7 linked regions of the Canis lupus familiaris genome follow. The protein of the gene in region 4 interacts with the protein of the main gene of each other region in a pairwise test. Links are inferred from orthologs where the notes say so. Each region holds a gene or a part of one and is shown on either strand. Other genes may lie near its edges.

What was found.
Region 1: the proteins of PNMA1 (region 4) and MCM7 interact in binary tests that used the Homo sapiens proteins (3 or more experiments, as listed by UniProt). The two-hybrid records come from large-scale screens. The link is inferred for Canis lupus familiaris from reciprocal best matches to the Homo sapiens genes PNMA1 and MCM7.
Region 2: the proteins of PNMA1 (region 4) and TNNI1 interact in binary tests that used the Homo sapiens proteins (3 or more experiments, as listed by UniProt). The two-hybrid records come from large-scale screens. The link is inferred for Canis lupus familiaris from reciprocal best matches to the Homo sapiens genes PNMA1 and TNNI1.
Region 3: the proteins of PNMA1 (region 4) and MRPL11 interact in binary tests that used the Homo sapiens proteins (3 or more experiments, as listed by UniProt). The two-hybrid records come from large-scale screens. The link is inferred for Canis lupus familiaris from reciprocal best matches to the Homo sapiens genes PNMA1 and MRPL11.
Region 5: the proteins of PNMA1 (region 4) and TCEANC interact in binary tests that used the Homo sapiens proteins (3 or more experiments, as listed by UniProt). The two-hybrid records come from large-scale screens. The link is inferred for Canis lupus familiaris from reciprocal best matches to the Homo sapiens genes PNMA1 and TCEANC.
Region 6: the proteins of PNMA1 (region 4) and SPG7 interact in binary tests that used the Homo sapiens proteins (3 or more experiments, as listed by UniProt). The two-hybrid records come from large-scale screens. The link is inferred for Canis lupus familiaris from reciprocal best matches to the Homo sapiens genes PNMA1 and SPG7.
Region 7: the proteins of PNMA1 (region 4) and RUSC1 interact in binary tests that used the Homo sapiens proteins (3 or more experiments, as listed by UniProt). The two-hybrid records come from large-scale screens. The link is inferred for Canis lupus familiaris from reciprocal best matches to the Homo sapiens genes PNMA1 and RUSC1.

Annotation. Positions count from the first base shown.
Region 1 is NC_049227.1:9,437,341-9,441,564, reverse strand, and holds the start of MCM7 (DNA replication licensing factor MCM7), read right to left. Parts: upstream 2,801-4,224; 5' UTR 2,674-2,800; coding exon 2,643-2,673; intron 2,199-2,642; exon of another isoform or gene 2,119-2,198; intron 1,831-2,118; exon of another isoform or gene 1,807-1,830; intron 1,797-1,806; exon of another isoform or gene 1,654-1,796; intron 1,549-1,653; coding exon 1,469-1,548; intron 1,176-1,468; coding exon 1,011-1,175; intron 836-1,010; coding exon 711-835; intron 625-710; coding exon 444-624; intron 140-443; coding exon 2-139; intron 1-1. Other genes in the region: AP4M1 (AP-4 complex subunit mu-1), read left to right, coding at 3,112-3,169, 3,266-3,354, 3,697-3,803, 3,883-3,979, 4,111-4,221. UniProt on the Homo sapiens protein: Acts as a component of the MCM2-7 complex (MCM complex) which is the replicative helicase essential for 'once per cell cycle' DNA replication initiation and elongation in eukaryotic cells.
Region 2 is NC_049228.1:1,607,608-1,610,360, reverse strand, and holds the end of TNNI1 (troponin I, slow skeletal muscle), read right to left. Parts: coding exon 2,707-2,753; intron 1,858-2,706; coding exon 1,750-1,857; 3' UTR 1,748-1,749; intron 883-1,747; 3' UTR 501-882; downstream 1-500. UniProt on the Homo sapiens protein: Troponin I is the inhibitory subunit of troponin, the thin filament regulatory complex which confers calcium-sensitivity to striated muscle actomyosin ATPase activity.
Region 3 is NC_049239.1:51,392,305-51,396,425, forward strand, and holds the start of MRPL11 (39S ribosomal protein L11, mitochondrial), read left to right. Parts: upstream 1-1,321; 5' UTR 1,322-1,419; coding exon 1,420-1,542; intron 1,543-1,928; coding exon 1,929-2,024; intron 2,025-2,580; coding exon 2,581-2,674; intron 2,675-2,760; coding exon 2,761-2,920; intron 2,921-4,121.
Region 4 is NC_049229.1:47,276,435-47,280,399, forward strand, and holds PNMA1 (paraneoplastic antigen Ma1), read right to left. Parts: upstream 2,627-3,965; 5' UTR 2,373-2,626; coding exon 1,311-2,372; 3' UTR 501-1,310; downstream 1-500.
Region 5 is NC_049260.1:10,112,905-10,117,138, forward strand, and holds the start of TCEANC (transcription elongation factor A N-terminal and central domain-containing protein), read left to right. Parts: upstream 1-1,434; 5' UTR 1,435-1,537; intron 1,538-3,866; exon of another isoform or gene 3,867-3,867; 5' UTR 3,868-3,994; intron 3,995-4,234.
Region 6 is NC_049226.1:64,512,039-64,516,077, forward strand, and holds the start of SPG7 (paraplegin), read right to left. Parts: upstream 2,801-4,039; 5' UTR 2,763-2,800; coding exon 2,580-2,762; intron 1-2,579. UniProt on the Homo sapiens protein: Catalytic component of the m-AAA protease, a protease that plays a key role in proteostasis of inner mitochondrial membrane proteins, and which is essential for axonal and neuron development.
Region 7 is NC_049228.1:42,224,805-42,228,846, forward strand, and holds the start of RUSC1 (RUN and SH3 domain-containing protein 1), read right to left. Parts: upstream 2,801-4,042; 5' UTR 2,649-2,800; intron 2,002-2,648; 5' UTR 1,917-2,001; coding exon 598-1,916; coding exon of another isoform or gene 584-597; intron 316-583; coding exon 1-315. Other genes in the region: FDPS (farnesyl pyrophosphate synthase), read right to left, coding at 3,087-3,287, 3,685-3,819, 3,909-3,986. UniProt on the Homo sapiens protein: Associates with the adapter-like complex 4 (AP-4) and may therefore play a role in vesicular trafficking of proteins at the trans-Golgi network. Signaling adapter which plays a role in neuronal differentiation.

The sequences.
Region 1 (4,224 bases), on a different chromosome or scaffold from region 4:
CATGTTCCTGCATCTTCATCTCTTGGAATTTGATGAATTTGGAACCACGTGTCTGCAGATACAGCCGCCCTCCTGAGCGATTGGTCTGGCACTCCTGGCTGGGGCACATGATCAGAGGCATGAAAGTAGGAGACTGGATCTAGAATGCAAGAAAAAGCAAAAAGCCATGAGTCCGTCACCTGAGTCAACATTTCCTCTTCCCCATAGCACACATCGCACACTGCCAACGTTTTGACCTGTCCTGAGTCAATAAGCATAGGAACCAAAAACCCATAAAGGACGATGGAAAGACCACTACGGACCAGAAAAACAATGATAAGTAAACACACAGTTGTGTTTCATAACGAACACAGCAAACAACAGATAACTACCAGGAGTTAAAAGTAATTCTGGGGCAAACCACTAACAATTAAATATGTTCCTATTCCTTGCTCCCTACATACCGGCTGGTAGGTCTCTGCTCCACACTGGTCACAAGTGTAAGTGGCCACCACCATCCTGGGTTTGACTTCGGAGACACGAGTGACAATTCCACGTACGGTGACCAATTTCCCCACAGAGTCAGCCCGTACTTCCCGGATCACACGAGGCTTGTTACTGCTTGGGCCTTGAAAGTAGAGCTCACTAAGGGAGAGAAAAGAGTCATTACAAAGGTTCTGAAGCACAAGCTTGCACAAGCTTCCACAGCCTTCCTCGCTGAGACCACTCACAATCTGCGCATGAGTTCGGGAGGGTACTGGTTCTGCGGGCTTCGGGCTGCCCCAGGGTCGCGGCTCCGCTGTTCCATCATCAGCCGATGTTCAATGTAAACATCCAGAACATCTTTGTTTACCACCTCAAGAGAAAAGAAAGATAGAAGAAAAAACGTGTGGCAGGACTAGAGAACGAAAGACCACAAAGGGAACCAGGCAGAAATTACTGCCCCCTTTCTGCCAACTCTGAAAAACCAGCATCTGAGAAGCTTCTGGAAAGCAACCTGTGTTGCCCTGTGTTGTCCTGCAACCACTCACCTCCCTCTCCTTGTACTGAGGCAGCAGCTCTTGTACAGCATCAGCAAAGAGCCTGGTGTAGCGTCTGGCATTCTCACAGATGGAGTCCACCAACTCAGGGTCATCCTCAGCTACATCATCTAGGTCTATGTACATTGCCACTTGTTCCCGATGAGCCAGTTGAACCTGGGGTAAGGACGAGACAGAGCTGTGTACACCATGGTCAGCAGTGTCCCCCACCCACAAGGGTAGAAAGAAGCATGAGACAAAGCAATACTCACTTCTCAGCCCCCCAAAGACAGCCCTCTAACTTCTAAAGAGCACACTGCTCATTACCCACACAGAATGACTTCCACTTACTAAATATTAAGAATCACACTGAAGCTGTTACCTACATGTACACTTACTGAAGCAAGCCAGGCCACCTCTTACAGCTCCTTAAGCAACCACCCATTCCCTCCACTTTTTCTATGACTCACCAACTGGTTCCCGTACTTGAACTGCTTCTTGCCAAATTCATCATCCTGATAAAACTCTTGTAGGAATTTCTTAACCTTTTCTGCAAGGAAAACGTAAATCATGAGAATGAGTCTTTCAGATACTTTACCACAAAACCCCTTGATACGCTTCTTTAAAAAACTCGCTTTTACTTCGTAATTCTTACCAAGTAGAGCAGAACTCCTTCTAACAGGTCTATTCTCACCTAGAGAAGGGGCCCCGGGCAGTCAGGAGCTTTACCCAACAACCTTCCCCCAGGGAATCCCAGTGTCTCCCCTGGTTACAAATCTCAGTACTCGTTCCCAAAGGCCTTTCACACCCCGCCACACGCTCTGAGCTCAAGGTTCTCAGTTTTTCTTCCACGCGTTGAGATTCCTCTTTTTCTTCGGTCTCCTCAGTCTCTCCACTAGGCCCAGCCTGCACCCCACCCCCTCTCCCGCCACTGCTTCCGCTCTTAGTAAACAAAGAAGCACATGGGCCCAGATGCAGCCGCCTCACAGCCCGGGATTCCTCCGCCCAGGGCGGGAGCCCGTCCGGCGATTGGCCGGCTCGTCAAGGGCCACTCCGTCCCACCCGACCACCTCCTTTCTCGGCCTCCCGCGAAGCCCCCCAGTTTCAGGCACGCCCCCACCCTGAGCAGCTCTTTCCGAGGCCGCGGCGCGGAAGGACACTGTTTACAGACGACACTCCCTCCAGCGACGTCGCGCAACTTCCGCCCGCCTTCACTTCCGCTTAGAGGTTGGCCTAAAATGGCCAATCCCGGCACTCAGCGGCCGGGGCCCGCCCGCCCCCGGGACTCCGGCGCGTCTCGAGAGGGCGCGGGCGCTCCGAATGTCTAAGGGTGCGCAGGGAGGGGGGACCCGGGGTCCTTGTCCTTGGGGGCGGAAAGCCCTTTGGGTCTCCTGAGGTCCCGGTCTCTCCTGGGCGCGACCCTCCCCCGCCCACCGCGACCCGCCACTCCTTCCCCAGGCATGACTGGCTCTTCGACTTCCGCGGCCCGCGCGCCTCCCACGCACCGTCTGCCTCTGCCCTGCAGCCTCTCGACCCTGCCTCTGGCCGCGCGCCCCGGGGCCCCAGGACGCCGGCTCACGCCAACAGGTGTTGGACCGCAGGCTTCCCGCGCAGGCCGCTCCTCCCAAGTTTGCATATCCTCACCTTTCTCGAGCACGTAGTCTTTAACTGCCATCGCCCGTGCGGCAGCAGCTGGCGGGCTCAAGGCGCTCACTCCCAGGACAGCAGAAAGCGTCCGCGCGGCGGGCTCCTGCCGACCAACCGAAATTGGCGCGAAACGTCGCCCCCCACGTGACGGGCGCCGCCGCGTGCGGGCCTATCAAAGAGGAGGCCCTTCGCCCCTCCCACTCTCCCGCAGGCCATAGCTTCGGCCAATCACCAGGCGAGTCTGGACTGAGTGACGGGGCAGCGGCGCGGGCACCCGAGCTGCGGAGAGGCGAGGCGGGGCGGGGCGGGGCGGGCGGGGCGGGCGCCGGGTTTCCCGCGGTCCGAGCTGGCTCGGACCGAGAGAAATTGCTCTTAAAGGACCAGCCTACGCGCGTCCTTTTGTTCCGGGGCCGCAGGGCGGGGCAGGCCCAAGTTTCGCTGTCTCCTTGCGGACTCTCCAACCACCATGATCTCCCAGTTCTTCATTCTGTCTTCCAAAGGGGACCCGCTCATCTACAAGGATTGTATCCTTGACCTGCGGGGCGGGAGGCCTGGGTGGGAGTAGTGCCCTAGAGCCCGCCCGTGTCGCCGACTCCTTAGCTGTCCTTCCACCCGGTCAGTCCGCGGGGACAGTGGCGGTCGGGATGTGGCCGAGCTCTTCTACCGGAAGCTGACGGGACTGCCCGGAGATGAGTCCCCGGTTGTCATGGTAACCTGCGGCGGGGCTTGGGGTAGGCTCCCGGAGGGCTGGGGGGCGCCTCCTTCCTCCCAGGACCGTTTCCCTGAGAGCTGCCGCTGGGGGGCGCGGGCGGGGCGGGGGGTACGTTCTGCCAAGTAATCCGAGCGACAGTTTCTGGAGCGCTAACACTCTACGGGGCGCAGCTCCGCCAGTCCGGGGTAGGTACCAGGGCCACTTCCACTTCCACATTAGGCAGCTGGGTCCCGGGGCGGGGGCGAGGTGCCTGGCTCGCCCCAAGGCCCACCGCTAGCAAGTCTCGCGGGTCCTTAATCACATGTCTTCCTAACGCTCTCTTCCTCGCCTCCGCCTCAGCACCACGATGACCGTCATTTCATTCACATCAGACACAGCGGCCTCTATTTGGTAGCCACGACTTCAGAAAACATTTCTCCCTTCAGCCTTCTAGAGCTGCTCTCCCGGTGAGGAGGGCAGGGCTGGGCACCTGGGCGCGGGGATACGACCGTAGAAGGGTATGCACACACAGCCCTGTTTTCTCAGGTTGGCCACTCTCCTGGGCGACTACTGTGGCTCCTTGAGTGAGGGGACCATCTCCCGAAACGTGGCTCTTGTCTACGAACTCCTGGATGAAGTGCTGGTGAGGGCCAGGGGTCTCCCCCAAGTGCCCAGTGCCCTGCAAATGTGGGCTGGGGTGGGAAAACTAAGTCCATTCACTTTCACCTTTTTCCTCCACTCACCACCCAAAGGCTGTCCTTCCTCTGCCCCCAGGACTATGGCTATGTGCAGACCACATCCATGGAGATGCTGAGGAACTTCATCCAGACAGAGGCTGTGGTCAGCAAGCCTTTCAGCCTCTTTGACCTCAGCAGCGTTGGCTTGGTT
Region 2 (2,753 bases), on a different chromosome or scaffold from region 4:
GCAGGGGTCAGGACGGGTGAGCCCAGGGGCGGCGATGGGGAAAGGAGCCACCTGGTGGCCAGACACACAAGCACAAGGTGTCCCTGGGGCCGGGCCAGGGAAGCAGAGGACCAGGTGAGGGGCGGAAGGGACGTCTAGAACAGTCAGGAACATCCAGCAGCTGCCAGGGAGCGGTGGTCCAGGTTGTCAGAGAAAGGGGACTGTGACAGCAGGCGAGACAAGGGGCTCTGCGTAGAGAGGCCCACCTTGATGGCTGGGGTCGCTGGGAGGGCTGGGCTGTTCCAGAGGTTAGGCCTGGGGTCGTCTGAGCATTCTGGGTGGTGACGGGGTGATGTCACTGGGACTGGGCGGCAGGGGCCCGGGGGACCTTGGCAGGCAGCTGCCAGTTCCCTAGACCTCCTTCGGACCCTGAGCTCCTGCCTGGAGGCGGCGCACCCGTCCCTCCGGATCCCCTCCCTTCTGAGCACTCACATGGTGCAGACATGACCGGCACGGAGGGACAGAGGTGACCAGGAGCCTGGTTTTTAATGGAGAAGCTGGGATGCCCGGAGTGGGGGGCACTCTGCAGGTCAGAGAAGCAGTGGAGGGATGCAGCTTGGGGCCAGAGGGAAGACGCTCTCACACCCCTTCCCCCTCAGCCTGGCTCCACCGCAGCCGGCAGGCGTCTACACCCCGCTAGGGCGAGGTCTTCAGACACGGGGGTTGGTCCTCTCGGGTGTCTGTTCAGTCCCAGTCCCAGAGGAGGGCGCTCAGGCTGGAGGGGAGAGGCGAGGGCAGGAGGGGGTGCTCCGGAGGGGCAGGGTGGGGTGCAGAGAGGCAGGTGAGCCGGGCTGCAGGGAGGAGCGAGACGCGGAAGCCCAGAGCACGGGGCGGCAGGGCGGCCTGTGGGACAGAGGCAGACGCCGGGTTACAGCTTTACCGGTAGGACACAGAGCTGCCAGCCAGGGGGCTCCTAGGAAACCCCAGCTTCTCAGCCAGGCCCGGGCTCCCTCGGCTCCCCTTTCTGAAGCCCTGCCCCTGCTCCCCGCTAATGCGCCCCCTGTGCCCTCGGCCTTGCAGCGCCCTTGCCCTGCGTCTGCTAGCCCCTGCCCATCGCTTCCTCAGAGGAAAGCTCCGGAAAGCCTGCGGTGCCAGCCCTCGGCCCTCTCCCCGTCACCCGCTCACACCTCCCCCGGAGCGACAGTGGGGCTTTTCTGCGCCCTACACTTGCTGCTTTCTCCAGCAGTTTCCTCAGAGAGGGGGTGGTCTCGTCTTCTCTGAACGGACACCACCCCCCCCCCCCACCCACCGGGCCCGGGGACTCCGAGTTTGGGGTCCTTTGCCAGGAGGTATTTTTAAAAGCTTCAAATTCCCTTAGGGCTCGTCCAACCCCGGCTCCCAAGGTCCTGCAGGAGGGACCCCGGGGGCAGGCCCCACCCCACAGTCCAGATCAAATCGCTCCAGGGCGAAGCCAGAGCATTTGCAGGTGGAACCGATAGGCCGGACGGGGACGCCCTTGGAGAACTCTCCCTGCTGGACCCCCAGTGCTGCGGACAGGGAGCCGGGAGCGCCCCGAAGCAGGAACCACGTGCCCGTGCTCGCTTCGGCAGCACATATACTAAAATTGGAACCACGTGCCCAAGGTGTCGGGGTGCTGGAGCCAGGGCGGGCCGCCTCAGTGCCCCCCCGCTGGGCCCATCGTCCCGGAGCCCCCGTGAGCTGTTGGATTCTGGTGGGCCCCCCAAGAAGGGAGCTGGTCTCTAGCTACCTCTACTGCGAGGTCGGAGACTTGGCGGCGTCGAACATCTTCTTCCGGCCCTCCATCCCGGACATGGCCTCCACGTTCTTCCTCCAGTCCCCCACCTCCACGGGGCGTTCCTACGGGCGGGCCCCCCAACACACGTCAGAGACCAGAGGGCAGCTGGGCCCCCCCATCACAAGAGAAATTTGCTGATGCAAAGTCAGCCTCTTGGAAAAGAGGAAATCCCGACACGCCTGCCCACGGGTGGGGCCCAAGGACGCATCGGGTGGACTCGGGGAGGCCGAGGCTGCACGGGAAGAGGGAGCGTGTCAGCTGGGCGCCCCGGCCTCCAGACCCACGCCACCGCCTGCTCGGGCCCGAGGCCGGCTCAGGGCCACCTCTTCTGAGCAGCCTGCCTCCTCCCGACCTGGCCGGCTCTCCTTTGGCCAGCGGACTCGCAGCCTTGGGTTGTCTTCACACGCACGGCCTCAGCGCGGGCCCTCTGGAGCCCAACCCTCTCGAGCACGCGGCCGCAGCCCATCCGTTCCAGGGATTTGTTGCTGAATCAGCGACTGAACTCGGTTCTCTACTTTCTGTGCTCAGTGTCCTGTGACCCCCATGATGTGCCATCTTCCCCCCCCCCACCCGTGGGGACAGACGGGGGTCACCCTGATCGCCCCGTCACTCTAACTCCGCATCCTCTTTGCACTGGCTACGCTTTCTACCTTGTTGCTCACTCGGGCTTCCTCTGCTTTCCTCCTCGGATGGCGAGCAGCCCGAGGGAGGGGAGCGAGTCTTCTTTCTCCCAAAATAGAATCACAAGACTTCATCACTGGCCTCCCAGAGAGCTCCAGAATGTTCTAACAGGCTGCCAGGCCGCCTGGCCGCCTGGCCGCCAGCGGGAGCTCCTGCCCGAGGCCATGTGACAGAGTAACAGGGGAAGCTGAGGGGACAGGGGCCGAAAGGTTGCGGAGAGGAGTCCTCACCTTCTCTGTGTCCTCCTTCTTCACGGACTTCAGGTTGGCCCGCAGGT
Region 3 (4,121 bases), on a different chromosome or scaffold from region 4:
TTGTAAAATAAAAGTGTAAATAAAGGCTGGGCAGTGTGGGGGCACTCAGAGATAAATCATATCTAGCTGGGCTCTCTTCAAGGTGCTTTACCTGAATTAACTCATTTCCTGGGAGGTTAGTACTATTGCTAGCCCCGTTTTGCTAGTGAGTAAACCAAAGCACAGGAAACTTAATTATTTTGCCCAATGTTTTACAACTAGTGAATCAGGAGCCAGCTTGATTCCAGACCCTGGCTAAGGCTAATGAGATAGAGCATTATAAAGAACTTGAGAAACTTCAGAGGCAGGAATAATCACATTTAATTAGTGGAAGTCCAAAAAAATCATAATAAAAATATGACAGTTTACAGTGTGGTTTAGCACAGATTATCTCCTTTTACTAGATGAGGCAATGTAGAGTCATGGTACATGGCACAAGGTCTAGAATCCGGTAATACCAATATTGGTTTCCCAGCCTTGTCAACACAGGGTAGTTGTTTTTGACCTCCTTTTTGTGCGTCAGCATTCTCGTTTGTCAAAAAGGTAAAATAAAAGAATTTACCTCATGCCATTGTGAGGACTAAATGAGATAATAATGCCCTTAAAGCACTCGGCACCATGCCTGGATATAGCAAGTGCTCAAAAAAAAAAAAAAAAAAAAAGGCATAATAAGATGCTGGCTTATTTTTATAAGTCTCACAACAGCTCTGTGAAGGTTTTGTCTTCGTTGTACAGTTAATAGCACATGCTTACTAGATGCCGGGCATTGTCCTAACACACTGCTAACTCAATCTTCACAACAGTCCCTAGAGCTATGTCTACATATTATAATCTTTGTACAGGGGAGGAAAGTGAACATAAGTAATTTGAACAAGTTCACAGCCAGCAAGAGGAACAACCGGGTACTTACTTCCCGGGTCTATACTCTTAATCATAGTGCCTTTCAACAACAGGTGACGAAACAGGCTGGGAAAGTTAGAGATGCTCACGCCCGAGAAGGAGCTCTAAATTCCCTTCAAACCCCAGGATTATAATCACATCCAGCAGATGGCCCCCCAGAGCATAGCAACGTGCGAGATTTGCGTAAGCGGTCAAAACTACCATGCCCACAATGCTGTGCGAACATTAAGGGCCTCCTCCTCCTCCAGTTTAGCTGTCCGAGGTACTGCCTATGTGCTCTGCAGGAGGAATGCATGTATCTGAACCATTCAGGCCTTCCCTTATCTTCAGATCGTGAGGTAAAAGTTTTTTTTATCCTTCATATTACTCTCTTTGGCGTACTAGTTGGAGAATAGAAAGGCCGAAACAACGCTGCTTTTTGTTGGCGTCATATGACCAAACCTAACGTGAGGACCCTTGACCTCTGACTCAGGATGGCGGCGCCCGTGGCCGTCGCTTTTGCTGTAATCCTGAGCTGAACTGAGGCCGCAACCCCGCGTCATGTCGAAGCTGAACCGAGCCGCTCGGGCCCTCAGGAAGCCCGAGGCCGGCGGCGTGATCCGGACCATCGTGCGGGCAGGCCAGGCCATGACCGGGCCTCCTCTAGGTCCCATCCTGGGTCAGGTGGTCCCGCGGCTGGAACCCGGAGCGGGAGGCGTGGTGGGGGTGGGACCTAGTACTGGGACCCGGAGCGGGTGGAGGGTGCGGGCTCGGCTTGGTAAGGTAAGGTCAAAGCGCGGCTTTGCTGCCCACACGCTTTTGGTCTTTGCGTTCATTCCGTGGCCTGTTCGAGGCTAAGCTTCCTCCGTCCTTGGTCAGCGGCCCCTTGGGAGGATAGAGGGACGATGCATACAGATCCTCTGGCGCGTAAAGTGTTAGTTGAATCTGGGTTAATAAGAGGAGGATGGGACCTTTAAGAGATGAAGACGAAGGAGGAAAGGGATAGAATCTCCCGTATGGTAGGAAGCCGCCCCCTTGTCCCCACACTAATGTCCGTGCTTCCCACCCAGAGAGGTGTTTCCATCAACCAGTTCTGCAAGGAGTTCAACGAGAAGACAAAGGACATCAAAGAAGGCATTCCTTTGCCCACCAAGATTTTTGTGAAGGTGCACAGTCGGGACTTTGATCCTGTTTGGCTTTTAAGTTTTTATTTTTATTCCAGTTAGCCGGTATACAGTGTTATATTAACTTTGAGTGTATGATATAGTGATTCACCGGTTCCATGCAACACGCGGTGCTCATTGCACTCCTTAATCCCCGTCACCTAATGATCCTATTTGTTTTTCTTCCCCTTGGTTACTGGGGTTGCTACTCTGCTTTTAATTTTGGGTGAGGCTCTTCCTATCACCGAGTCCCACTTTCCCCATTTACACAGTGGAGACTAGACCATATCTTTTCTGAGCCTTTCCTGCCATATTGCATTTCCTCCCTTTGCCTGTCCATCTCACTCGGGCTTCTACAGCAGAGCTGAGCCTGGACTAGAGGTGACAAAGCTGTTAGCTGCAGATTTATTTTCCCCGTGTTTTCATGATCTGTTAAATGGACGCCAGTGGAAGATGAGTCAAGGGAAGGGGGAACAGAAGTTAAAAGTTCTCTGGGCTGGGGCAGCAGGGCCTAGAGGAGATAAGAGAGATATTCTCCTGTATTTTCTTCCCCATGAAGCCTGATAGGACATTTGAAATCAAGATCGGACAACCCACTGTTTCCTACTTCCTGAAAGCAGCTGCTGGGATTGAGAAGGGGGCCCGGCAAACAGGTAAGGGTCAGGGTGGGTACCCGGGATTTTGGGGGCTCTGGAAGGAAGCCGAGATACCTCAAGGTCTACTTGTTTCTTCCTCCCAGGGAAGGAGGTGGCTGGCCTGGTGACCTTGAAGCATGTGTATGAGATCGCCCAAGTTAAAGCTCAGGATGAGGCCTTCGCCCTGCAGGATGTGCCCCTGTCCTCTGTGGTTCGCTCCATCATTGGCTCTGCCCGTTCCCTGGGCATTCGTGTGGTGAAGGAGTGAGTGTCTTGGGAAGGTGCAATGTGAGGGGAGGGCTTGGAAAGTTCTTGACTCTGGAGCAAAGCCAGGAGGGCCCATTACAGTGGGAGGACCAGCTTCTGAGTCAAGGACCTTAGATTCTTGGGAGTGGGCAGCCTTATTCATCCATTTGGAATATGAATATTAAGTACCTGTTATGTGTCAGACATTTTTCTGGACGTTAGATACAGCGAGGAAGAAATCACTGGGTGGCTCAGTGGTTTAGCATCTGCCTTTGGCCCAGGGCGTGATCCTGGAGTCCCGGTATCAAGTCCCACATCAGGCTCCCTGCATGGAACCTGCTTCTCCCTCTGCCTGTGTCTCTGCCTCTCTCTCTCTCTCTCTCTCTCTCTCTTTGTCTTTCATGAATAAATAAATAAAATCTTAAAAAAAAAAAGATACAGCGAGGAACAATGAGATAGCCATGCTTGGCCCCACTCCTAGGGAGTTCACAGTTGAGAGCTGGAGGCAGATGTGTAAGTGGAGCATTAGGCTGCTAGATGGTCATTGTTGACAAAAGGAACTGCAGGTTCTTGAGGAAAGAGTAGAGCTCCTAATTTTGCCTGGTGTGTCAATGAGGACTTCACAGAGGAGGTGACATCTGCACAGACTTGGAAAAGGAGGTCAAGGACTGGGACAAGCATTCCAAGAAGTGGGAAGATCCCTGTGAAGGACAGGAGGTGAAAAAGTGAAGCAAATAAATGCAGTGTGCTCTGGCGTATGGTGCTAGAAGCAGAGTGGGGAATAGGAAGAGAGGTGAGACAAATGGACCAGTTGGGAAGGCTGAAGGCTGTTTCCATCTATCTGAAGTTCATATTTGATCCTGAGGCCAACAGGAAGCCCCCTCCTAGGGTTTGGGATGACCTCAGGAATTATTTCTCTGAAGTGAGATGTTGGATGGGAGAGCATACATCATCTGAGGGCTCAGACAACAGCAAGGGCGGGGCTTGGCCCTTTATGGGCCTCTTGCTGCTGATGTTACATCTCATGCTGAGGCTAACATTTGTTTCCTAAGAGAAGTGGGATTAAACGTGGTACAAGGATAGACCTGACTTTCTCAAATCTTCACTTTGACTAGAAGTACAGAAGTGAGTCGATCTGACCCTTGCTTGGGGGGAGGCACATGTGTATAGCCTGACGACTTCTTTGTACAAAGTGTTTGGGGGCACAGAGGAAGGGGCA
Region 4 (3,965 bases):
GGTTTTTATTTTTTTTATGATAGTCACAGAGAGAGAGATAGAGAGAGGCAGAGACACAGGCAGAGGGAGAAGCAGGCTCCATGCACCAGGAGCCCGACGTGGGATTCGATCCCGGGTCTCCAGGATCCCGCCCTGGGCCAAAGGCAGGCGCCAAACCGCTGCGCCACCCAGGGATCCCTGAAAAGGGATTTGAAAGGGGAGAAAAAGCATTACTAGATAACATCCTGAGCCCCATTTCAGGATTTCCTAACTTTTTATAGTAAGTTAATATTGACTTAGGTCTGTTCAGCCTTCTAATATTTGCCTTGTAGAAAACATGCAAAAATTGAATACATTGAAAGGTTCTGTAATTCAAACTCAAATAGTATGCTATAAGGTTAAAGATACAGTAACTGAAGTTATATTTTTTTTAAGTGACACCAGGAAATCTTCCTAAGAGAATAAATATAGAGCTTAATTACACTGAAATTTTATATATGTGTCAGAAAAAAAAGACAATAGAATTTTTTAAATACTTTTATTCATATACATGTATTTTGACAACTTCAAATTTAGAACACTTAGAATCAGCATGAACAAGAACTACCATTCAATGACAAGGATTTGAAATGGGGGAATAGATACTGTAACTGGTTCTTATTAATCTCCCCATGCAACAAGACACTCCCTGTGTCTTGTACACAGAAAAATTGATTCACACAATTCTAGAATTGCAGTATTTTTCTAACATCCCATTCCATAGTCTCAGAATACTTTTCAATTAAAGTGATCCAGATGTTTCGAGATGAAAAATAAAACAATTTGCTTTGTAAGGCTGAATAAATAGTATGAGTCACATTTCTTTCCATTAATATAAATTAGGGAAAAAACTTAGGAACAATTTACTGTAAACACAAAAACTATTCACAATATTAGTAACAACGGCTCATATTTTTACCGAACACTTCCTGTGTTTGCCAGGCCCCACGCTAAAACATCTGAACATGCAATTTCACAATTATCTCAATGAGAAGTGTCAGGGATTCACATGGTTTTTACAACGGATGATTGCCACAATGACAGCTGGCACTGAGCACTTGTGTACAAGTCTTTACCTGGCATTGCAGCGAGTACGACTCACTTGTAGCAGCTCAGGGTGCTCATTTGCGCGATTGTACTAATGTTACATGAATACTCAGGCCTGACTCCCTACCCCCACCCCCAAAACAGCACATGGCGGAAGTCTTTACCACTAGGGACACATCTGTAAGAGCACGGAGACAAGGTAAGCGGCTGCGATCTAGATGTGCACTGTCGCCGTTTCCTGGGCCTCAGAAGTGCCCCTCCAAGCCTAACTGCAGGAGGGCGGCCTCCGCCTCCTCCTCCTCCTCCTTGGCCTCCTCCTCGCGGATCTGCACCAGCAACTGGAAGAGGTTAGGGGCAGGCCCTTCCGCGGCCCCGGTCAGCCACAGCTGCCTCCGGATGGCCCCGCTGTGGTTGGCCCCGGCAATGACCTGCTCCAGGCGGGCCTGGTTCACGTTATCTTTATCTATGGCCCCCTTCTCCACCACCTTCTGCAGAAGAGGCTCCAGACGAATGACATACGCAGATAACTTTTCTCCCGGGTTCTGGTAAGTGTTCAGAAATCTGACCTGCGCATCCCTAGAGCTCTCGACGCTCCCAAACACCTGCTCAAGCGCCTTCAGGCATTCGGCAGTGGTTATCGCAGGGTTGTTCGTCTTGAGGATGCGGATGACATCAGCGGCGGGGCCCCGAAGACTCTCCATCAACCGCCGCCTCTTTTCTACATCAGACACCTGCCACTCCTCTATGACCTCATTAGTGTGTTCCAGCCAGGGATCAAAGGTCTCCTCCCCAGGCCCCGGGATGTCCCTCCCCGAGAACAGCGTCAACTTCTTGTACCATATGGACTCAACAAGAGGCTGAATAACGTTATCTAAAATATAGTTTAGCATCTCTGCTGGCATATCTGGACCCGGGGCCGGAGTGGGGTTCTGAAACCCAAGGACGCGGGCAACATCTTGCACGGTCCACCCCTCTCTCGCTAGGAAGAGGTGCAACCTTTCTAAAAATTCAGCATCGGAAGTCGGGGGTTTAAAGACCACTTTCCAGACACCTCCTTTACCCGGCATCTCCCTGGGGATCGCGGCGTAATCGACAGCGCCAGTGAGCTCTAACAAGGCTGCTTTCGCATTCTCTTCCCTCCAAAACATCCTCCCAAGCACTCGATAGGGCACCTGGGGCATCGCAGCCTGGAGGGTCTCCTCGATTTCAGCCTCATCACAGTTCACTGGGATCCCCCAGACCAGCAGGGCTCTCTGGGAGTTCACATCCATCCCCCGGCACCAGTCTTCCAACAGCGTCATCGCCATTTCCCCAACTAGCGAGGGCCCCGATTCTACAAAGACGGATTAGGCTGTGGCTCCCTGCGCTCTAGGGCTCAGCGCGGCAGCAGACACCCCCCCACCCCCGTAGGCGCGAGGGAGGCAAGCTTGACGCAATCACAATTAACAAACGACACCAGAGTCCTGCCCTCTTCCTTCGCGGCCCCCAAAGGCAGTCCGCCGGCTGGTCCCCGGAGCCAAGCCCCGGGAGGCTCGGGCAGTCGCCTCACGCGTCCGCCGCCACCGGCGTCCTCAGTCGGGGCCCGCGGCCCGGGTCCCCCACCTGCAGCCGGGGGTCGCGTCCCGTCGCAGCGCAGGAGGCGGGCAGCGAGCGCGGCTGGCGAGGGCTGCGCCGCGGGGCCGGAGGCGCCCGGGTGTGGTCGCGGGGCGTGGCCGCCTCCTCCCGGCAGCCGGGCGCCGGCACTCGGGGCTCCCCTCGGAGGCGATCCCGGCGTCCGCGGCCGGAGCCCGGCCTCCAGTCGGCCGAGGAGCGGCTGCTCTGCAGACGAGGGCTGTGCGGTCCCCGGAGGCAGAGCCTGTTCTGAGGTCGCGGCGGTGGCTGCCACGCCAGCCCGCCAGCGGCTTCTTTGCAGACGCAGGGATGGCTCCGGGCGGTGAGGGCGGCTGAGGACCGAGCACACGGGCGGCGGAGGCGCCGAAGGACGGGGAAGCGGGGCCACAGGCGGCGGCGGCGCGCAGGCTGCGGCGGGCTGCGGCGGTGTGGCGCAGCGGGGCCGCCGGGGTCCCACCGCAGCCCGCGGAGGCGTTACTGCCGCAGTGCGGGGCGGGGCCGGCTGCGGAGCCGCTTCCTCCGCGCCCCGCCCCCGAGCGTAGCCATGGCAACGGCGGCCCGGACTCCCGCCCGCTCCGCGCGCTCCCGGGGTTGGGGCTGGGGGCGGGGTGGGGCGGTTGCAGAGGCGCTGGCCTGACGCTCCGGACACTGCTCTCTTTGGTGGCGCATTTCCTTTTTCACATTTTCCAGTTTTTATTTCATTTCTTAAAAAAGATTTTATTTATTCGTGAGAGACACAGAAAGAGAGGCAGTGACACAGGCAGAGGGAGAAGCAGGCTCCACGCAGGGAGCCCGACGCGGGACTCAATCCTGGCACTCGAGGAGCACACCCTGGGCCGAAGGCAGGCGCCAAACCGCTGAGCCACCCGGGCTGCCCTTTATTTCATTTTTTAAAAAAGATTTTATTTATTCATGAGGGGTGGGCAGAGACAGAGGCGGAGGGAGAAGCAGGTTCCCTGCAGGGAGCCCCATGCGGGGCTCTATCCCAGGACCCCAGGATCCTGACCTGAGCCAAAGGCAGGAGGTCAAACACTGAGCCACCCAGGTGCCCTTAAAAAAAATTTTTTTTTTTTTTTTTAACAAAGCACCTTGTTTAAAAGATAATATAATTCTGGAGTGGAGTTAAGGCTGCAAATGCCTCCGTCACTGGTCTTCCGCTGGGTAGGAAAATACGGTCTTTAGCACCGCAGCTTCCCTGTCCCACCTGATTGCATTCTGCACCCTCCATACATCCCCTCAAACTAACACGTTGGAAGCGTGCCGTGTTCATATTTTTGTGTGAGACACTG
Region 5 (4,234 bases), on a different chromosome or scaffold from region 4:
TGGAAATGACCCCAGATTACGGCAGGTAGAAGGGGGTGTTAAATGAGACTTCTCTTGACTCAGGGTTTTGCCCAGGGCCCCAAAGTTGAGCATAGGGCTGAGTGTCCTCTGGTTCTAAAGAGACACAGTGTACCATCCGTACAGGCTAGGTGGAGAGCCCGAAACTACTTCTGCGTCCTGTGGTTCCTCACCCCCCTTCAGCTCGTGTATAGGAGAAGGCAAGAGTGGGAGAGGGCTGTTAGAATTCTAGAAGTTTATCTTATTACTAGATGGTTAAAAAAGCCAGCCTAATCTAATATGGAAACTTCAATCAGTCATCCAATTCAAAGCTCTGGCTCCCTCTCAGTTCAGGTGTGACCTGTAACTCTGTGGAAGAGCAAAGGGAACGTTATGTGGATTAAGTTCTTCACTCTCCTATTGCACACTTTCTGCACTATTTTCTGGTTTCTCCAGGGTAAGGGCAGCAGGAGGAAGGGATGGTAATACAGGTCTGTTTAGAGTCAAATGTCCACCTTTGTCTTCACATGACCTTCACTCAACTCCAGTGTCTTGTCTTCTCTTACAAGGATTGTCTCTCGTTGGATTTGGGGCCCAACCCAGTGATCCAGGATGGTCTCATCTTCAGATCCTTAATTATATTTACAAAGCCCCCCCCCCCCCATTTTTTCCCAAGTAAAGTTGTCTGGATAGGTTTGGGGGAGGCAGATTTAGGAAGTGGCTGTATCTATCTTGGGGGCCGGGGCACCATTCAACCCACAACACTCATCAAATTGTTTCATTGAACCTGAAAGTGACCGGGAAAGCTGCGCGGTTTGCTCAAGCTCCAGCCCTGGAGCAGCCAAGGGGCAGGAGAGCCAACAGAGCAGCGGTGAGAAAAAATGAGTTTCTTGTTATACCCTATGGAGCGTCCCTGCTCGACCAATTAGATTCATTGGTGTCTCACTTAGTTGTGATAGAAACCATCGTGCGGCAGTAATAGCCGTTTGAAACTAAAGCCCCGAGTTTTACCGTCGCTTTGATTTTATCGGACCGTTGCAGGGAGAGGATGTGTCCGGATGAGCGGTGCCACGGCCACCTGGTGAATGTTCAGTACTTCCTTACCAAGGGACGCGGGCTAGGGCTGCAATACATACTTGTTAATTAATTACTGCATGAAATCAATCGCATCCGGCCACCGTTTTGTCAACCTTTCAGCTGAGCACTGCCTTGACTGAAAGCACAAAGCGTACGCCGTGGAGTTAGTTCAACACACTTCGCAGCTGAAAAACGCTCCTGGGGGCAGCTGCCTTCAACTCAGGAGGCCCCGGGGCCACGTCGCCCGCCACGCCCGGGGCCGCCCCACAGCGAGCGGCGGCGCGGGCTTGACGGCCGCCGGTCCCTCTGCGCAGACGCCACGTACCCAGCACGCATGCGCCCGGCCTGCGGTCTCCAGCCGCCGGCCTCGGATTGGTGGAGCCTCGGTGGCCCCGCCCCGCGTGCCGGAAGCTCTGTCCCGGCGCCGACGTCTCCGGAGATTCCCGGGCGTGTGCGCTTCTCGGTGAGCGACGCTCTAGGTTGTCGCGTGTGTGTGCCCGGCGGCGCTCGGGGACGCGCACCCCTGTTCGGGGACGCTCACCGCTGCTCCGGGAGGGCGCGGGGGGCCGCGGTGCGTCCCGGGGCGGGCGGGCCCTGTAGCGCCCTCGCGCCTCTTCTCGGGCTGACGTCGCTGGGGTGGGCGGATCCCCGGGGGCCGCCGCCGCCTCCGAGCTGGCGGCCCGCGCCCCTCTCCCGAACCCGAGCCCCCGCGGGCCCTTGCGCTGCTCCCTTCCGCCCTCTGCACCTGTGCCGGGGGGCGTCCTAACACGAAGGGACACTAGCGCAGTGTTGCGTGGCTGTTCGGAAACCGCGGCGCCCCGACCCAGCGTTTGGCATCGGTTCTCTCCCTGGGGGAAGGGGCTCCCCTGTGTAGCTGCAGAGCTGTGCGTGGGTTATGACTAGAAACAAAATTTCTCTTTGATCGCTCGTGTCCCCCGGGGATTAAGCCAGATGTGTGCAGATGTGTGCAGCGTGCCCATATTAGTTAATATTAACAAGCTTTTCTATGCATTCAGTCCACAGATATGTAGGGCCTGCACCTGCCCGCCCGGCATAGACTCATTTTCATGTATATTCAGAAGCTGGGGCAATAGGTGTGCACGTAAGCGTTATCTGTATTAGCATATGCTCTAGAACTGTGTTGTCCCATAGGTAACCACGAGCTACATGGAGCACTTGAAATGTTCCTGGTCCTAATTGAGATGCGTCAGAGTGTCAAACAGCGAATTTGGGGGAAATAAGTATGAAAAAGAGAATGTAAAATATCAACAATTTGTTTTTATTAATTACATGTTGAAGTGGCAGTATTTTGGATACACTGGTTAGGTAACATGCTGTAACCTTCACTTGTTTATTTTTTTAACGTGGGTACTAGAAAATTTTAAATTTTATCTGTGGCTTGCATTGTATTTCTGTTGGATAGCACTGCTTTAAAAGGGCTCAGCAAACTGTGGCCTACAGCCAAATCCAGCCTACCTGTCTTTGAAAAACATTGGAGCAAAGCCATACTCATTCTTTTATGTGTCGTCTATGGCTGCTGTTCCTGCTACCAGAGCAGCAGACTTGAGTAGTCCATACAGAGACTGGATGGCCTGCACAGCTTACAGTATTTACTATCTGGCCTTTTCCAGAAGAAGTTCGCCAACAAACAACAAAGTTCTGTACAACAGTGCCTGCCATGGAGATCCATGTCACGTGAATCTTTTAATTATAGTCCTGTGTAATTGTCATGTAGGCTTACTGTGTGACAGGCATGGCTCTAAGGACTTTATAAGGACTATCTCATTTATTTCCCATATTAAGCCTAAGATGCGGAATTTCCCCAGTTTTGTAGATGAAGAAACTGAGGCACAGAATCATCAAGAAACTTACGGAACATGCTCAACGCCCCTCGGCTTCTGTGAACTCTAGCTTCTTGACCCTTCTTATCCCCACAAGCTTGATCTCTGCAGTCCACTCAACCCACAGTGGGCACCATGGTGCTGCTGCTGCTACTGCTGCTACTCCTTTTTGTTTTGTCTTTTACATAACTTTTCGAACTAGAATTGAGATGAGGTTGGCTCATGTGGAAGAAGCTGAGGGGCAGTGAGCTTAGGTGCAGTGGGTACGAGCAAGCTGGTCTGTAGTGGAAAGAATGAAGTGTACAGGGGCGCCTGGGTGGCTCAGTCAGTTAGGCATCTGCCTTTGGCTCAGGTCATGCTCTTGAGGTCCTGGGATCCAGCCACGCGTCAGGCTCCCTGCTCAGGGGTGTGTCTGCTTCTCCCTCTGCCTCTGCCCCTCCCCTCTGGTTGTGCTCCACCCCAAATAAATAAAAAATCTTGAAAAAAAAAAAAGAATGGGGCGTACAAGCAGAGAGGAGAGGAAGCATTCTGGATCCTCTTTTCTCATTTAATAAGAATTTGTTGAGTAATAGTAAGAACTGGCCAGGTGTCTGCTGGGCGTGTCTCCGTGAATGAAACAGACATCATTCTCTTATGGTCTTGTGGGGAAAGCAGACAATAAAAAACATTTTAGGGACGCCTGGGTGGCTCAGTGGTTGAGTGTCTGCCTTCGGCTCAGGGCATGATCCTGGGGTCCTGGGATCGAGTCCTGCATCGGTCTCCACGCAGGGAGCCTGCTTCTCCCTCTGCCTGTGTCTCTGGGTCGCTCTCTGTGTGTCTCTTGTGATTAAGGAGAATCTTTAAAAAAATAATTTTAATGTAGTCTGCACAGTGAAAAGCCATCACAAATATTTGATTTTTTTAAAGACGTTTTTAAATTTAAAAAAATTTTTATGATTTTTTTTTTTAACAGGCTTCCTCATCTGGAAGATGGAGATAAGCCACATACCTGACTTGGGGTCATCGCAAGGATGGAGATGACATAAATGTGTGTGGCACGTACAGTTCAATAAATGTACATTGCCTTCTGCTGTTAAGAGGTAAGGGAGGGAATAAGTCCGGGGAACTGGGTGCATCGTGACGCTTAAGACATTGCAACCACCAGTTATAATTGTAGAGAAGAGTCTCAGGTGAGCTGTGCACAGGAGGTGTTTTTAATATTTCCTAATGGGGCTCAGTCAGCAAAATCCAAAAGCAGGGAAGTTCTATACATTCACTGGAGGAGCAGGTCAGGAGCTGTCTTTGGGCTGATGGCAGTGTAACTGAGTCGGTCCTGTAGC
Region 6 (4,039 bases), on a different chromosome or scaffold from region 4:
CTAAGCATTATTTCAAACTTTCAACATCAAAACAAAAGTGATGCAAGGAAGCCAGTCAAAGAAACATAGAAGGAAAGGCAGGGAGTGCAGACTGCCATTCTGTGCCCTGAGGATCACAGCTCCCTGGAAGGGCTAAGTGGAAGGGAGGGCCCAGAGCCCTTACACCTGACCTCTCCAGACAATGCTCCTTGCAGAACATTTTCAGGAACTATAGGGGGTTACTAGTCTGTCTTTCTGAAGTTCTGCTTTCAAGATGAGCATTTTCCCACTTGTGTTTTATGCCAAGGTCAATGATCCAATTTAATTTTTTTATCTCTTTGTTGGCACTTTCTTCATTTGTTTTATTTCTTTGTTTTTAATTTTTTCCTTAGCTCATCTCTGCCCTGCTATCAAGGAAAGTAATACCCCGGGGTGCCTGAGTGGCTCATTCGGTAAAGTGTCTGCCTTCAGCTCAGATCAGGATCCTGGGGTCCTGGGATGGAGCCCCACATCAGGTTCCCTGCTCAGTGGGGAGGTTTCTCCCTATGCTCCCCGCTTGTGCTCGCTCTCACTCTAATAAACAAAATATTAAAAATAAAGTAATATCCTGCTCAATGTTTTTGGGTAGCAAGCACATTCCATGTAATTTCCTGTTAGCAACAGGAAGAACATTCCTCATCTATAGTTATTGTCCCACTTAATTAAAACTACTACACCTGGCTCAGTGATGACTGAGTTCAGGAGTCCTATAAGGAGTAGACACAGAATGTAGACTGGGCCTAATAAACGAGTATCATGAATTTGAAAGATATAAAAATTTAAAAATTGTCATTCTCTAAAGTCAGATCCAAACAGTTTGTTTAACCCAGGTTACTTAAGTTTACTTCTGTTACAGCCACTGGTGAGGGAGCCTGCGGAGATTCCACAATATGTGAATTTCCTACTTCAGCCTTTCCTTTCATAGAATAAGCATGGGGTCAGACTAAAGACAATATTAATTATGATTTTCCTTTTCAATAGAACTAAAAGTAGAAAGGAAAAAAGTGTAATACATCTATACGTCCCTCAGGTTCAGGCTCGGGAGGAACAACCAGTGATCTACAATAGAACTATAATACAAACGGGTCTTCAAGTTACGGTAAAAAAGAACAATAATAAATTATGACCTCAAGTATGTTAAGCTCCTAAGAAAGGACTGGAAGAAAAAGCAGCCAAGATGGCACTAGAGCTTGGGATCCTTGTTTCTAGGTAGAGGTCACTTGAGCAGATCCTGAAGCACAGCCCTCACTTAAGGGTGCTCAATTAGGGGGATCCCTGGGTGGCTCAGCGGTTTGGCGCCTGCCTTTGGCCCAGGGAGCCATCCTGGAGTCCCGGGATCGAGTCCCGAGTCGGGCTCCCGACATGGAGCCTGCTTCTCCCTCCTCCTGTGTCTCTGCCTCTCTCTATCATAATAAATATATCTTTAAAAAAAAAAAAAAAGAGTGCTCAATTAATCCAGGTCCATAACGCCCTCCGCTAGGAGACAAACCTAAGACAGCTGAGGGAGATCTGCTCATACAAAACTGTCCTCCCACTTGAGCGATGGCTAGGTACCATCATCCTCACAACGTCTGTATGTGAGCCAATGGTCAAATAGTTCTCGGTCAAACTCTTACTGGATTCGGTTTTTAAACATTTTTTAAAACTTTATTTTTAAGTAATCTCTACAGCCCACGTGGATGGGGCTCGAACTCATAACCCGAGGATCTAGCCGCTTGCTCCACTGATTGGGCCAGGCATCCCTGGATTCAGTTTGAAGACGCTAGGAAAGTAAGCAAATGGGCAGAAAAAAATCAATACACGAGAAAAGGGCTGGAAAGATGCAGGCTGGGGCCTGTGCGGGGTCTCTTCCAGGGCTGCCCTGGGGTGGGGGGAATGGGGGGACCCGCGGCTAGGTGCTGGCTGGGGGTGAGGAGCTGAGGGGTGAGAGAATGAAGGGTGAGGGGATGCGAGCGTGAGGGGACGAGGGGTAAGGAAATGAAGGGGTGAGGGGATAGGGGGTGAGGGGATGGGGGGTGAGGGGTGAGAGGATGCCTGGGTGAGGGGATGGGGTGAGGGGATGAGGGGTAAGGGAATGAAGGGGTGAGGAGATGGGGGTGAGGGGATGGGGGGCTGAGGGGTGAGAGAATGAGGGGTGAGGGGGATGCGTGGGTGAGGGGATGAGGGGTAAGGGAATGAAGGGATAAGGAAGGCATGAGGGAATGAAAGGGTGAGGGGAGGGGGGTGAGGGGATGGGGGCTGAGAGGTGAGAGAATGAGGGTGAGGGGATGCGTGGCTGAGGGGCTGAGGGGATGGGGGTGAGGGGATAAGAGGTAAGGGAATGAAGGGATGAGGGAATGAAGGGGTGAGGGGATGCGTGGGTGAGGGGCTGAGGGGATGGGGGTGAGGGGTAAGGGAGTGGAGGGGTGAGGGGATGCGTGGGTGAGGGCATGGGAGAGGTGAGGGGATGGGGGGGACGTGAGGAGATGGGGGTGGTGAGGGGATGAGGGGTGAGGCTGCGGGAGGGCCCAGCAGCGTGTGGGGCAGGAATGGGCGGTCCCCGACCCCAGGTCGGCGGTTACCTGCTCGGCGTGGTCTCTGGTCCCCACGAGTCGGGTCGGAGGCCTGTGGACGAAGTGGAGGCACCTCCTTCCCGCCCCGGGGGAGAGGCCTAGGGTCCAGCCAGAGCAGGGGCCCCGCAGTCGCCCAGACCCCACAGCAGGGCCCGGGCGAAGAGCTCGCAGCAGCAGGAGAGCGGCCGCCATGTTGGCCCGGAAGCGGCGCCTGCGCAGTGGAGGCCGCGCGAAAGGCGCCTGCGCAGTCGGGGCTGCCCAAGCCGGTTGCCCGCCGTCCACCCGCTGCCGCGCTCCGCCCGTGTTTCCTAGCAGCCTGCGAGGTGCAGCCAGGTCGCAGGGTCACGGGGCGGAGCGGGAGAGCCCGAGGAAACGAGCCCAGAGAGCCGGCGTTCAGACCCCGACCGCCACCGGGGTCCGGGACCCCGGCCTCAGCCACCACCCGGGATCCAAACCCCGGACTCAACCCGGACCCCAGCCTCAGTCTCCATCCCGGACTCGGACTCCGACCCCACGGCCTCAGCCTCCACCGGGGATCCAGACCCCGACCATCTGGGGACCGGGGACCCTGGTCCATCTGTCCGTGTCTTGACCGCAGGGCTTCGCCCTTGCAAGTGCAGCGGTCGGGCCTGGGGTCCAGCCTGGGGCTTAGCGGAGGGAGGGTGGCCTGGAACCCTCGGGTGCCGGGGTCCTTGTCCTAAGAGTGTTTCCTTTCGGATAATCATGGTAACTAGTGACTTTCTGCCAACGGCACGACGAAGTCTGGAAGTGGTGCCCAGCCCCGGTGACTAGGATGGCAGCCTGGAGTCAGTGTGTCGGCGCCCCCGCCCCTCTACTCCACCTGTGCACCCTTTCCCTGCGGCCTGAGGCCCAGCGCCTGAGGGCTCCGCCTTGACGCTGCTGAAGAGCTGCTGACTGCCAGCCGAAAAGCTCCTTTCCTAGAAAACTGAAAGGTTAGGTGGATGTTCCAGAGTAGGGTTATGGTAACGTTGTATTCCACAAATTCCTACAGGCATCTTAGTAAGAGCTGGTGCCCGGCTCCATAGCAGATACTCTTAAGATTTTAAGAGAGAAAGAGAGAGAGCGCGTGCGCAAGCAAGGCCTGGGTAGGGAGAGAGGGAGCAGCAGACTCCACCCCCACCCCCACCCCCGCCTTAGCGGGAGAGATGGGACTGGATCCCAGGACCCTGGGGTTGTGAAGCGAACCAAGGCAGACGCTTCACCAGGTGCCCCATATCAGGTACCCTTATAGTCACAACTCTGAAGTACTTATTTTTTTAGATTTATTTTTTATTTATTTATTCATGAGAGAGACAGAGACTTAGGCAGAAGGAGAAGCAGGCTCCTTAAGGGGCCCCAATGTGGGACTCCATCCTGGATCACACCCTAAGCTGAAGGCAGACGCTCAACCACTGAGCCAGCCAGGTGTCCCCTCTGAGGTACTTTAATACTTATTTTATGGATGAGGA
Region 7 (4,042 bases), on a different chromosome or scaffold from region 4:
GGGGCCGCGGCGGGGAAGGTGCTGCTTCTGGGAAAGAGCGGGGAGAGCAGCAGGGCCAGCTCGGGGCTGGCCAGGCAGGGCAGGGCCCCCCGAGCCGGGGGCGAGTGCGCGCCCACCGGGGACTGGCGGACCGGCAGCAGCCGCTCCTGCGGAGGCCTCGGCGCGCCCAGTAGCCGCAGCCCCGCGCGGGGAGGGCCGGCGGGACGCGCCGGGAGCGGAGTCCCCGCCGTGCCCGCGCCCTCCAGCAGGGGGCGCGGGGCGGCCGCGGACCGGGGGGCGGAGGGCGGGCGCGGCGGGGGGGGGCCGGCTGCAGCGGGGGGGGCGGGGGGAGCGAGGCGGCAGCCAGGCGGGACGGGCGGAGAAAGAGGGAGCAGAGAGTTAGTGCCATAGCCCCGCGGCCCCCCAGGTCCCCCTCCCGGAGCGCTCGCCGTTGGCGGGGCGGGAGGCGGGGCGAGGGGGGCGGGAAGGGGGCGGGTGGCCCAGACCGGGGGCGCGGGGCGGGCCGGAGGCGGGGGGTAGGGAGCGAGGCCGCAGCCCCTCACCTACCCGCCCCCCGACCCCGCGGCTCCCTGCGGCGGCTTACCCGCGCGGCTGGCCTGCGCGCCCGGCTCCTCGGGCTCCCGGGCGGCGGCGGCCTCCTGGCCAGCCACGGGGCTGCCCGCCCTGCCCTCCTCGGGCGGCCGCTCGGTGATGGGCTGCAGCCCGGGCCGGTTCTTCCTCCTCCGCGGTGGGACGGGCGGGGGCGGGGGCCGGGGCGGCACCAAGGCCCAGCCGACCGGGGGATCCCGGGGCGGCACCGGCGGGGGCGTGGCCCGGCTCCGGGAGCGGAGCTCCTTGAAGGTGGTGACCTCCCGGGGCGGCGCCGGGGAGCCTCCCAGGGAGCCGCTGGGGGGCAGCTCGCTGTCGGGCGAGAATACGATGAGCCAGTCGCTGCGGTCCTTCTTGACCTGCGGCACGGGGGGCAGCCCCGGGCCCCGCTTGCGCTTCTGGGCCAGCTCATGGAAGGACGTGATTGTCCGGTGCGACGCCGGCTCCCCGCTGACGTCACTCCACCCCGCATCTGTTTTTGGGCTGGCTTCGGTGATAACTGGGTTGCTTTTGCAGCCGGAGTCGAGTTTTGCAGGTTCCGTTGTCCAGCTAGAGCTGCTGTTCCCGCGGATGGTGCAGCCAGAGTCAATGATCCCCGTGGCTTTCCAGCCGACATCGGGGAGCTCCGTGTCAATTTTCCAAATGGGGTTGATTTTCCAGCTGGGTTCGGTTTTCCCAGCGTCGGGCTCCGGGAGCTCGGAGGCAAGGAGATCCTGCTCCCCTCCCTCCTCCTCCTCCTCTAGCCCCGGGGAAGGGGGCTCCTGGCAGGTGGTCAGGGTGTTGCGGTTGGAGTCCAGACCGGGGCTCCGTGGGGAGGACGCTCCGGAGCAGGAATCGGGCGAGCAACAGAAGCTGTCCGGAGAGCAGGCGCCAGGGCCTGCGGAGGCCAGCGGGGAGCCCTGCTCCAGGGGGATGATGCTGGGCTGAGGGTGGACATCTTCCTCACCTGGGAGGCCCTGCGAGTACACTGAGATGGGGGACTCATCTGGACTAAGATCTGAGCAGGAGCTGAGCGAGGAGGAGCAGCCCGGGTCCGAGGGAGAGGCAGCCCCCTCCTCCTCCTGCACTGGGTCCTGTCGATTCTCCAAGCTGGGCCCGTGCTCCTGGCAGCATCGGCAGGGCACAGCTGGGCTGTTGGAATTGGCGTCCACCAGGGCCCCGCTGCAGGGGCCGCGGCTCTCCTTGCCCCCTGTGTCTCCGGGGGGAGGGGATGTGCTCAAGGACCCCTCCCGTAGCTCAGGACGGCGGGACAAGTGCAGGCCCAGGGACACATGCTGGAGGTGGATGTGGTTGAGGTTGCAGAGCAAAGCCCTCTGAGGGGACAGCATTGTGCCGGCAGCGATGAGGTGGCCTCTGGAGAGTCGGGAGGCTCGGGCCTCTCACACCGCCTACCTGGCAACCGCAGAGGCAGACCTGGAAGACAGGGAGAGTGATACCCAGCCAGAGAGGACGCGGGGCGCGGCGATGACGGGCAGCTGCAGCGGTCATGAAAGGCACCGGCTGCTTTGGACAGTATTTAAATAAGACGCCAATGTCCGTCGACTGACCGGTAGTTTCCACTGCAGTATTTGCAGGTGGAGCCCAAAGGAGCCCCCCGGGACTGGGGCGGGGAGGGTCAAGAAATGCGGCTGCGCTCTGGATCTCTGTGGAGGTGCGGGGGCTTGAAAAAGGATGGAGCCCAGGATAGAGCCTCGGATCGTCTCTGCTGCAGTCTGGCCCTGCACCGCACCCCCGCTTCCCCAGCCTGCCCTTCGCTCCCAGGGGAAGGGGCTGCGGGAGGCCCCGCCCAGATGCTCCGAAATCGGGTGGGGGAGGCGCGGCCAGCTTGCTAATGCAGGAGAGTAGCGGGCGAGCGTGGGGGCGAGCACCCGGCAGCTGGCGGCGCGCAGGTCCGCGGAGCAGGTGGGCCAGCAGATCTCTGCTCCGACGCCGCGCTCACCCATTCTCTCCGCGCTCGGCTCTGTCCCCCAGACGCCACCCCACTCCTCCTCTATGCAATTTTCCTGCGCCCCCCCTCCTGCCCCACCCAGCGTGCCCGGATGCGTCCCCCCTGACCTTACCCGGGTCCTCCAGCGACCGCTGCAGCCCGGCTCCTCCACGACTCCCAAGGTCCCAGTCGGACCGCACCGACTGGATGGGGGGCGCCAGGACGACCCGCCGGCGCTGCGCAGCCGCGCCCCTTCACGCAGGGGCGGGGCGGGGCTCAGACCCCGCCCCCAGCGCTTGACGTCTCGCCTGTGTCACCCATCCAGGCTCCGCGCAGCTTTAGTCTTAAGCTCTAGGTCCCAAGGGTCCTGAAGGCAAGACCCTGGTCCCGGCCACCCCTACTAACCCTGACTTCTCCCAACTGAGCTGCGGCGCAGGCCGGCACCACTCTCCCCAAACCCTGCCTACTGGGGACACAGCTGTGCCCCAGACCATTACAAGCAGGCACAGACGCACGAGAAGATTGGACAATTTATTGAGAGCCGCCCCGCCCCACCCTCGCCGTCTCTAGGTCACTTTTTCCTCTTGTAGATGTTGTGCGCCAGCCCCAGAAAGATGGCTGGGGGCAGGGGTGAGGCGCACCGCTCAATGAGGCTCATGAGGCGGCTATAGCTGTCTTCCTCATACTGCGTGAAAACAGCCGGCAGGTTCAGCTCCTCGTACAGCGCCTTCACTCGGGCCACCTTCTCCGCCTCCTTCTGCCCATAATTCTCCTGGAAGGGGTTGGAGGCAGGGAAACTGGCTTAGCCTTCTCCTGCTATCAGGGCATCTGGCACGCCCCTCCTCTATCTATTCCAGCCTCCCATTTCCCGATTTCCCGGGTCTTTGAACCTCCCTCTCCTGCTGCACTAGTTCAGGCCAGTTTCCTCTACACCAGCACTGCCGAGGCCGAGGCCGAGGCTGGGGCTGGCTAATTGTGGGGAAGCTCTGCTGTGCATTGGAGGATGTCTGGCGGCTTTCCTGGCCTCTACCCGCTAGAGATACCTGCAGCCCGTGCACACGCCCACCAAGTTATGACAAAAAAATGTCTGCTGATGCTGCCAAGCCCCTTTGAGAATCCTTATATGCCCCCTTTCCTGGGAGCTCCAGGATCCATGGCCTCCCAAGCACCTGAAGGACTTTGCGCTGCTCTGGAGATGCCTGCTGCAGACACTGAACCACCAGCCAGCTGCACTTGTTGTCCTGAATGTCTGTGCCAATCTTGCCCGTCACACTGGGGTCCCCAAAGAGATCCAGGAAATCATCCTGGGCAGAGGGCAGAGGAGGACCAATGAAGACACTCCACGCAGGGCACTAGGCTGGCAGTGGCCTGCTCCCCACCAGTGCCCTCCTACCTGAATCTGAAAGAACTCCCCCATCTCCAGCAGGATCTTCTTAGCATTGGCATGCTCTTTCTCCCCATCGATGCCTGCCTACAGTGAAGAAAGGATCACTAGATCAAACGCCAGGGGTGCCTCCACTTTCCTTG